2 separate regions of the Mus musculus genome follow, and region 1 is reported to be linked to region 2. Evidence: microRNA targets listed by miRTarBase, many of them from high-throughput screens and not tested one by one. Region 2 holds a microRNA gene; the other region holds the end of a gene's coding sequence. Distances are from middle to middle.
Evidence for each region. The annotated mature microRNA mmu-miR-153-3p reads UUGCAUAGUCACAAAAGUGAUC and lies in region 2 at 1,642-1,663, opposite strand. An mRNA with a match to its seed (bases 2 to 7 or 8) in the 3' UTR can be bound and repressed. Matches are read on the target gene's strand: a 7mer-m8 pairs with bases 2 to 8, a 7mer-A1 pairs with bases 2 to 7 and ends in A, and an 8mer does both.

Region 1 (5,000 bases), 25 Mb from region 2:
AGAAAGAGAACAGTAAGATTCTCCAACTGAAACAAAAAAAAAAAAAAAAAAAAAACAAAGCAATCCCAGTTCATAAAAAAAAGCAAGAGAAATAAGTATTGATGAGAAGGAGGTCAGACTAGATGAACAGACACAAAATTCCCCGGGAACATAATCATTTCCTGGAATTTTTTTTTCCTACAAAATTAAGCACCTGCGCCTACAGATGTGTATTATGAGGGCTCTCGGGCATAATTTCACAAAAGCTCAGAGACTAGGAATGTAACTTGTAAGTTCAGATTTCTTTGTAAAATGGTGTGCATTTTAATTAAAACAACCAAAAAGAGGTGTTTGTTCATCAAGTGGACACCCGGTCCTGTAGCTGTCAGTGCCATGGGCGGAGCACAGCTGGCCGTCACCTGCCTGCTGTCACTGCGGACAGGTTAGAGGTGTGCCAGGATTCAGACTTGGGGGCGGAGGGGTCTTTTATTGTTCTGCTGATCCTTTCAGATATCTACTAGAGAAATAGCTAGAAATTGCCGAATTAGATTTCTGATGGAAAAAACAGTTAGACATCTGATGTCCGCTATTAGGAAACCCTAGCTTAGTTCTTGAGACACACCCTCTGGGTGTCAGTAGAAGAAGGGTTTAAAAATCATCACAGTGTCCTAGAATTTAGTTTTTCAAAGTCTCATGCTTATGTCTACTGTTAAGTAACTAGTTTCAGAGTTCTTTCACCGACATCGAAGTGCTAATGCTTTTTGTGTTTTTCTCATTAAGATTCGAGATCTATTCACACAACTGGATATGGACCAGCTTTTGGGACCCGAGTGGGACCTTTACCTCATGACCATCATTGCACTGCTCTTGGGTACAGTCATAGCTTACAGGCAGCGACAGCACCAGGACATACCAGTTCCCAGGCCCCCAGGGCCACGGCCGGCTCCTCCCCAGCAGGAAGGACCACCAGAGCAGCAGCCACCACAGTAGCAGCCACACACTCACCTTGGTCGGTGACCACTGGGGAGCTGCTTGCTGAGAACGCTTGCATTTGATGTAGGGCTCTGGATGGTGGCACCGCCTGGAAGAGGCGTGAGGCGTGTTGAATCCCAGAAGCTGCTTAGAACCTGCTGCCTTCCTTTTCAGGGATGCGCGGCTCTCGGCAGAGCTGCAGTGAATGTTTGTTTCAGTGCCATACGGAATGACAACTCTCAGTGGCTTTCCTCTTTCCTTTTTCTTTCTTCGTTCTGCAAACATACACAAGACACTCGAGTCATGTCTACTGTACCCTGTCTTTCCTGAGAGACCTTTCGTCATCCTGTTGATGTGCATAACTTCTTACCTGTCTTCTAAGGTCCTGAGCATTGACAACCTGGGGAAACCCAGTTAGTTGCAAGTTTAACCCTAAAAACATGCTTAAGTCTGAGACTAGAACTTGCCATTAAGTCAAAAGCAAAACAAGCCAAGCAGGACGTCTTCAGGGTGTTTGGGAAATGCAGTAACTGGGAAATTTTACCAGTCTACATGCCAGGTCATATGTTCGGCACTCTTATTTTAAAAGGGATTATTGATCGGATTCCTGTACTGTGACTCTGACACTTCCTAGCAAACTTCTCTTCCTCAAAGACTGAAAGGCTTTGCTAAAGACTTCTTCGTGATGTCACATCCCTGCCATGGAGTAGAAGTCAAACTCAGTCAGCTGACTCCGTGCTCCCACAGAGGACTTTGCCCCAGCTACTCATGTGAGTTGCATATACAGAGCCCTAGTCCAGACGCCAGAGGATGATCTAAATGGAGAAATCAGAAAACAGCCTTAACCAACTTGAGGTGGGACCTGGGACATGCCCTCCCTCGGGTAGATTCGTTGCTTCCCGGATCTCATTTTACTTCACATTTCTTATGGCACAGAGAACAGACAACCCTCCCAAAGTCTTCAAATATGAAATGCTATTGTCAAGATTGGCAGGTGGTGACTTCCTTTGTAATACTAAAATACTAAAATACTCAGACAATGGAGGATGGGTTAGACCCAATGCATGGCAAAACCAAAGGCCTGGGTGCACCGTTGTGTATGCTGCGGGAGCTTTTTATTTCTGACGGTTTGATGTGGCTGTAGAAAGTCAGCCACTGAGTAGCTGTTGTGTTATCGCCCTTCTGTTGTAAACATTAGGAAATTAAAGCAGTTACACCCAGCATTGCCTGCTTCAGTAAGAGGCGAAAACAACGACTGAGAGCTTCACATAATCACCCCAAAGCCCAAGCTGAATTTGTGGTCTGTGTAATCAGATCTGTGGATGGTAGCGTTGGGTAGCCAGCACCCCATGGGAGCTCACGCCCCTGTTCATTATCGCCTTTCCATTGTTTTCTGTAATCCTTGTCTGCAATGAAACGACTTTATCACTTGTGGAGTTTGGAAAGCTTTGAGTTTGAATGTTGGGATTGTCATGAGAATTCAATGTAGTTCATCTGTATTGAACATGAAGGCTTTAAGTGTGAAGTTGTGTACATTTGTGTGTGCTCACAGTATTATGGGAAACCCAGGAAGCAAAAATTTTCCTCGAAGATATTTGCCTCCAAATTTGAAGACATGGCCACAGAGAGGCAGATCTTTGAGAGGCAGCCAGCATTCCTCTCAAAAATGTAATGTTGCTTTGGGCTTGTAAATAGTAAGGCTCATTTGGTGTCCTGTGCTGAAAGACTAGATTGTGAGCGGTGCAGTAAACAGGGTCCTTAGCCCTGCCTCCTCTCCCAGCCCCTCCCTCAGCCCAGGAAAGGAAATACGCTACGGCCCGGCCCGTCTCTGCCGTCTCTCTTCCTTTAGAAGGCAGGTTTTACATGATTCACAGGAACTGGGCACAGTGGTGTGTAGCTGCAGTCTCCTGTCACTCACAGTAGGCTGGGGGGTTAAGACCAGCTTAGGCAATACAACAAGACCCAGTCTCTACAAATAAATAAATAAAAAGATGGGAAACTCTAAGATGCCACTGGCTTCTGTGGTTTTCCTGTGCCATCCACCTCAGGCCTCCTTGGATGGCAGCAGTTTTGCCTCCATCTTTACTTCCCACAGAAAGTACTTGAAGAAAATATCTCTTAAAATAGCATACACTACCTAAGGCTGGACGGGACAGTCTAGGTTTGTTCTTCATGTAGCAGACTTGCCCCTTGCTGTCCTTTTACGAACGGTCACTACAGCAGATGCCCTTCCCGAGACTTTTACCCTCTGTTTCCAGCCTGCGGCGTCTACTGCGAGAACTCAGTTCTCGCTGCTGCTTTCCTAGATGATCTCAAGCGCTTTGCTCTGTTCTCTTACCTAGAGTCTGTGGGACGTGGGACCGAAGCAAATAGGCACTGGGTTCGGTGGTTCTCTTAAAAATAATGCACAGTACTTACTAATGGCATCCATTTGAATAAAGTGGCAATAAAGCTAGTTGATGTCAGTGACATTAAGCCAACTCCAGGATTCGGGAGTTTTAGCATTAGGATTTAGATTTACCAGCTAGAGCGTGGCTTCCTTCCTCCCTGTAGCCCATCCCTACTGCTGCCTTTCGTGGTCTGTCTCGCAGGTCTGTCTTGCGGCCTACCAAGGCTCTCTGACGAGCCTCTGTTCTCCTGCGCCCCGCCCCGTTGGGCAACCAGCTACATCAGAGTCTAGAGAACACAAATTTTACTTCTGTGGCGGTGTACAAAAGTGGAGTTTTTGTTTTTGAAGTTTTTGTTTCTGATTTCTGGGTTTTCTTAGTTACTAGCCGATAATACAGAAAAAGGTCTGACAGGGGCTTTATTTTCCCCCAAATTTATTAATACCTAAACTAGATTAATGTAAAAGTACAAGTCCTAAATCTTGGTACTCCTGAAGGCTTGTAGTTCTTCTGAAGATATATATAGATAGATAGATTAACTTCTGAACATATTACCACTCACCATCTCTACCTTGGAGAAGCGTTAGAACCCTGCTCCAGGGGTCTGGTGAGGAGCGGGTGGCTGGGGGTTCTCTACACAGAATTTGGTTTCGTCTGGCTGCTTGGTTGGGTTTTCTCTCTCTCCTCTGCTCCCCAGGTTTGCTCTCTGGTGCTTAGGAGCAGCCATGGCAGCCTCCACATGCAGACCTCAACCCCTTGTGTGTGTGGCATTTGCAACCAGTGACCAACCACATCTGCAAAACACGCAAGAAGATACGCAAGAAGTAACCGGAACAAAGGAAAACTATTTTATGCAAAAAAAAAAAAAAAAAAACTATTTTCATCAGTTATTGCCTCAGATACGAGAGAAACTATTTCTGGATGCTGTATTGTCAGGTTTTTAAGTGGGTATTTTTCTTTGAAAAAGAAGCTAAGTGTCTTCACCCACTAGGGACTTGAAGAAAATTTGAAATAACCCCATATACCAATGATTTCTATGTTAAAGAGCCTGTTTACACATCAGAAAGCCGATTTTGTATGCATATGAAGGGCCCTTTGGTTATGAGCAGGGAGCCATCCAGATGTTCTTTGTTTACTATTTATTGGTGAACGATCTGACACTATTTCTCTTTTATTTAAGAAACAACGTTGATATGATCAAAGTATGACCACTAGAGATGTTGAGGGACATGCTTAAAGAGCATAAGCTGACGTCATGAAGGAACACCATACTAGACTTTTTGTAAATTTATTTTGTATTTAATGGAATGCAGTATAACGGCTGGTGACGTGTATTATAATTGTGTAAACAAATCCTGTTAATAGAGAGATGTACAGATTCATTTTGTACTGTATCTGGAAACTTGTGAAATAAAGACCCCCTCTCTGGTTATCTGTCTGGGCGTGTGCCACATTCAAAGGCCTTCATGTGCAGACTTTGCTCTTGACCTGAAGATTGAACATTTTAGCTAACTCTTAGTGAAGTACAGAAATGAAATTCTAGAATGCATTCATCTGGGGAAATTTGAATCTGTCTTTCATTTTTAATATCTGTCAGTCAGATTCCCATGAACTAATTGAACATTGTCCTGGGGAAGATATAAATTTACCAGGAACTGGTAA
Region 2 (5,000 bases):
GAAAGCTTTTCTTTTCTTTTTTTCCTTTTTTTTTTTTTTTAAATTTGACTTCTACTGCAGTGTTACTAGACTCAGCTACTTCTGATAGAAGTCTGAGTTCCCCCTCCCCCCACGACGGAACTAGCAAATGGGAATTGAAGGGCAGATGCAGAGCCTGGATAAGATATGGCCCCCTACAGACAGGTCATGTTCAAAGCTGTTTTCAGCTGCTCTTGGTCTCTGGCAGCTCTGTCTATATAATCTGTAAAAAACCTTCACCATTTTAGAGCCTCCGGACCACCCACCGAGGCTCCAAAAAGGGGGAGTTCTCAGAACTATGAGGGCAAAACAAGTGTGCTCTCTCTTGGTCCTTTCTGAGAGAGCCTTTTGTGGTCACCGGTGTGAGGTGCATTATGGGAGGAGGGGAGAAACCAGAGACAAACTCCCTCTCAATAGAGCCCACATATCAGGATACCGAAAAATAACCAGGTTAGAAAGCAGATCCACTTGGCTCTCCTGCTAAAGTTTCCTGTTCCCCACTGGGTTCCAGCTTGGACACACAGAGGTGCTAAACACAGAGCGTGAAACTAGAGCCTGTGCTGAGGGTTGAGGTGTGGCAGAGATGGAGCCCTTGCCTGGCAGGCACAAAGCTCTGTGAGACCAGGGGCCAGGCCCACTGGGTGGCTTTCCTCTCAAAAGCTTTCTTTTTCTGCAGAGTTCCCCTGCTAACAGGAACAACCACAGACCCATGCCTTTAACTCCTGGCCACACTGTATGCTTAGCTGCTGTGGGTTGGGAAACGGTCTGCATACCCACAGATGGCTAGTTACCCGGTTTACTCCGTGCTGCTCTCCGGATGGGAGCAAGAGAAGATGCACTGTAAGAAAAGGGATCTGTAAAGCAGACCACTGTTAACTCTCACACCCGTGGTAGCAAAATGTACTCACGATCTCTCTAGGTAGGAGTGTGACCCAGGCTAAGTGGCTGCCATCCAAATCTCCATTCCTACGGTCCTATCTTCCTCTACAGGAGGCTTAAGGTGTGCTTTCTCTGGATTGACTGCCCCAGGAGGCCTTTTCGAGATCTCACTGAAATGTTCATACCCGCCCCAGACCCCACCCTGTGCCAGACATATTTACATGCAACCCGGGGCTGGGTGGGAGACACAGTGGATGGAAATACTTGTGGCGTTATAGCTTAGAACTTTATTAACAAGGAACCACAGGTTATAACAGCGTGAAATACCACAGATAGAAAAGCAAAACCATCCCACAGAGAGCCCGTGTGTTCATCCGAGGACCTGAGATGCAAGGGCTGGTTGTTCATGAAGATGAGCAATACACAGTTGTCTCGCTTTTTGTGTTTTTGTTTTTGTTTTTGTTTTGTTTTTTTGTTTTTGTTTTTTTTTTGTTGTTGTTTTTTCTTTTTTTTTTTGCTCTTAGACAGGTTACCAGCAAGCGAGGTCTCCGACATTGAGCAGAAATGGATACTATGTGGACTTTTGCAGGAGGATCGCCCCAAGAAGGAACCGTTAGCAATACAAACCAACCCTTTGGTCACTGAGTGAGTCGCCATGCAAACGAACAGCAAGCAAAGTCAGGTGAGGTCGTTAGAGGCTCAGAGAGGGGCCCCCATGTCCCTGCTGCAGTCACAGTTTCCAATGATCACTTTTGTGACTATGCAACTGGGCTCATATTACTAGCTGCAACGTCACAAAAATGACACCGGCCACCGCTAAGTAGCTGGCAAAGTAAGGGTTTGTCGGTTTGACAGTGAGCAGCGTTAGTGGATGCATGGAACACAGCAAGAGGTGCAGAGAGGAGAAGAGGGAGGGAGGGAAAGAGGGAGGGAGAGAGAACACGGAGACTGGGGAGAGAAGAGAGGTTTGTAGAGCCAAGCCCTCACATGTGACTCTAATTATCTCTTAGCAGTTTCTCTTTAAAGTGTAAATGTATGCCCCCTGGGCTCCAGCAACAGTTAATTACACATCTTGGGTGCCTGACACACACTCTAGGCCTGCTGAGAACACTAGGCTATTGTTCCAAGACTAGAACCCCCCTCCCCTGAACAAGGTGGGGTCCACAAAGGTGGCTTCCTATCCGTCTAGCTGACACTGGCAACTTTATTTCTAAGCCAGGGTATCCAGAGAGTGTGGTCATTTGTGCCAACTATCCAGGATAAAGAAAGGGTAAAAGGGTCCTCAAGTGAGCTGTTGGATCCTGCACAAAGCTTCAAGAGCAGCTTTCTCCCCCACTGAAGCCTGCAACACGGGGGTTCAAAGTCTGTTTAATATATGATGTTACATAAACCTTGGATCATGTCATCTCAGACTCTGGAGTTGGGGAGACTTGGGGATTCAAATTTTCTCCATGAAGTGTCATGAACCTTGAGGGCTGGATATGGGTATGTTTCATTCCATATATGAATACAGACACGGGCCTATACACATATATGTGCAAACCCCTTGGATGCGCTTAAGAGACAGGTAGTGAGATGGACAGCCATCTGCATAGCTGCATCCACTTTGCCAGTCATAAGCAAAAGACTTCCTATGTGTATCTTCAGGAGGTCTGTACTGGGAAGGGTCTGGTGGCTAGGGAATTGGGGTAGGAAGGAAGGCGCTGTGGCTGTTTCTCTGATATTCTCGGGTTTCTGAATGCTCCTATGGGGAGGTGACAACTGGGCAGGAGCCACTAGCCTTGGTACCAAATTCCCATCTTTCTTTAAACTCTTTCATGAAATTTCTTTTCAAAGAATGTCTCATTCAGACAAAGAAATTTTATTTCTAGCACTTGAAAAGCAGAGGCAGGCAGATCTCTGTGAGTTCCAGGACAGCCAGAGGCTACATAGGGAGACCCAGTCTGCAAATATTCTTTTCAGTGTAGACTAGAAGTAGCATCATGTTAATCAGAATTTGTAAGATGAGAATTTAAGCAGCCCAGGCCCATCTTGGCTCTGTTTCTATCTCAACACTCTCCTTGACTTCAGGCTTGGAGACTGTCATATTATCTGGTGACACAACAGTTTGTAAAACGCCATGCCCTGGCTCCCTAATTCCTTGTCTGAGAATCTGCAGGGCAGCTGGACGAGCAGGCTTCCAGTTAGCTACTTGTGAGACACAGAACTTGACACTGGCATGGATAAGATGTCTCTGCACTTATTACCACTTTGGGTGGCACTGACCTATCTATCACGAGTGTGATGGGCAAACAGCTCATCTACCTCATATTTTTCTTTGTTTTACACCGTCAATATCTTCCTGTAAGAAAGTCTAGCATTCATCTCAACAGCTCAATAAAGACACTTTGAAAGGAGACAATTTTTTTTTATGGCTGGCTGATTTGGAGCAACAAATAAACAAACAAACAAACAAAAAATCCAGTGCATTAAAAAGACTGTCACTTTCAAAACTGCACTAAACACACATACACATTCATGTGCTCGATATATTTAGGCTTCTATACAAGACTCTCTATTCTAGAACCTGGCCTTTCCCTGGCAAAATTTCCTTAGCCTGGCTGGAAGATGAGTCGCCAAATTAAAAAAAAAAAAATCTGACTTTACTAAACTGTATGGGATAAAAGTCTTAGGTAGGTCTCAGAATCTTATTAAATTATGCTTAGACCTGCAGAGCTCTACGATGCCTGCTGCCTCACCTTTATCTGATGGACTGATGGACAGTCACTCATACAGAACAGGGGCACTAACTACACACACCCTTCCCTCTCTCCCTTCCTCTTCCTGCCCAGTTGTTGCTTTGGAGGCAGCATCTCAAAACCTGAGAGACCTGGCCCAGCCCACACACTCTAGTCGCTACAGTCTGCAGCATGCTCTTTGTTTTACCTGCGGAAATCCAGGAGTGACCTCGTGGAGGAAGGGACTCCCTGGTCATACCAACTCAGGAAGTGGAACTGGGTCACCGTGCGAGTCTCGTTGGTCTGCAGGTTCTTCAGGTAAAAGCTTCTCACCAGGAAATCCTGGCACCATATGTGCTCAGAGACTAGATTGACCTGGTGGGGACAGATTAGCAAAGCTCGTGAGCCCAAGACTGCAGAGCACAGCATTGTGTTTGGGGAGAGAGGAGACTATGGCGAGGAGACAGACAGGTGAGGTCTGCTTTGCCCCAAGGTCCCCTCTGCTCTGAGTTTAGCTGGTTTAGATCAGGGGACACAGGGGACATAAGACTCAGCAGATTCTGAGGAGTCCTGTATCTCTCAAGGTTAGAGACTATGACTTCCCAGTGATACTGTTAGGGCTCCTGTGAGACCTCTAACATGCTCCCCATGTGAGTCCTTCCTACCTTAAACACCACAGTTATTGCCTTCATCCGGTATGTGTAGGAAACCCAGCAAGGGAAATCTGCCCCTTATAGGAAGGTCAAATACTACAGACCCATGTCTCAGGCAAGAAACCCACCAGCCACTAGAATATGGGCAGCATTCTCTGTGAAAATGGACCTCACCTGAATACTTGTTATTTGAAACCTGGGCCACCTTTGCATGACAGACTTTTTTTCTTCTTCTTATCAGCCTTGAGACTTAATACAACTGTGATATGGAATGACAGCATTTATTCTTGAGTTTATCCCTAACTAGGTTGCAGTGTAAGGCACTGGCTCTCTTGGCTGTATAACACCTGGATCCCTCTGATGTCAACGTGCTGACAGCCCTCCCTGGGGATGTCCTAGCCCCACAGGTTAGGTTGTGGATGAGGACTAGAGACATATGCTTCTTGTCACGCCCCTGAGTAGGCACCCGGTCCTGGTACCTCGTAGACATGGTAGAGGTTGGAGCCTTCATCGGGCCAGTAGTGATGGCACTGCCGGACGCCGTTCTCGGAGAGGGGTGTCAGCATGACAATGACTGCACAGCCGCTTTCCCACACCATCTGCAGGTGATACAACTTGTGGTTACTCCCGTCAGAAACAGTCTCCAATATCCCACTCCTGAGGAACTTACTTCTCTCTCCTTAGATCCTGCACACTGCAGCTGCTTCAGCCCTCTGAATACATTATCTCAATG

Region 1: miRTarBase lists Sel1l as a target of mmu-miR-153-3p. Seed matches in the 3' UTR shown: 7mer-A1 at 4,189-4,195.

Annotation. Positions count from the first base shown.
Region 1 is chr12:91,805,813-91,810,812 of GRCm38, reverse strand. It overlaps Sel1l (sel-1 suppressor of lin-12-like (C. elegans)), which reads left to right. Exons shown (of 21, transcript NM_001039089.1): 21 at 760-4,770. The coding sequence ends at 969. Among named protein-coding and RNA genes, the nearest start is that of Ston2, 22 kb to the right of the region's middle.
Region 2 is chr12:117,247,523-117,252,522 of GRCm38, reverse strand. It overlaps Mir153 (microRNA 153), which reads right to left and starts at 1,706; the gene lies at 1,638-1,706. Ptprn2 (protein tyrosine phosphatase, receptor type, N polypeptide 2) reads right to left here. Exons shown (of 23, transcript NM_011215.2): 18 at 4,747-4,866; 19 at 3,823-3,989. The region is part of intron 2 of Gm5441 (predicted gene 5441); the gene reads left to right.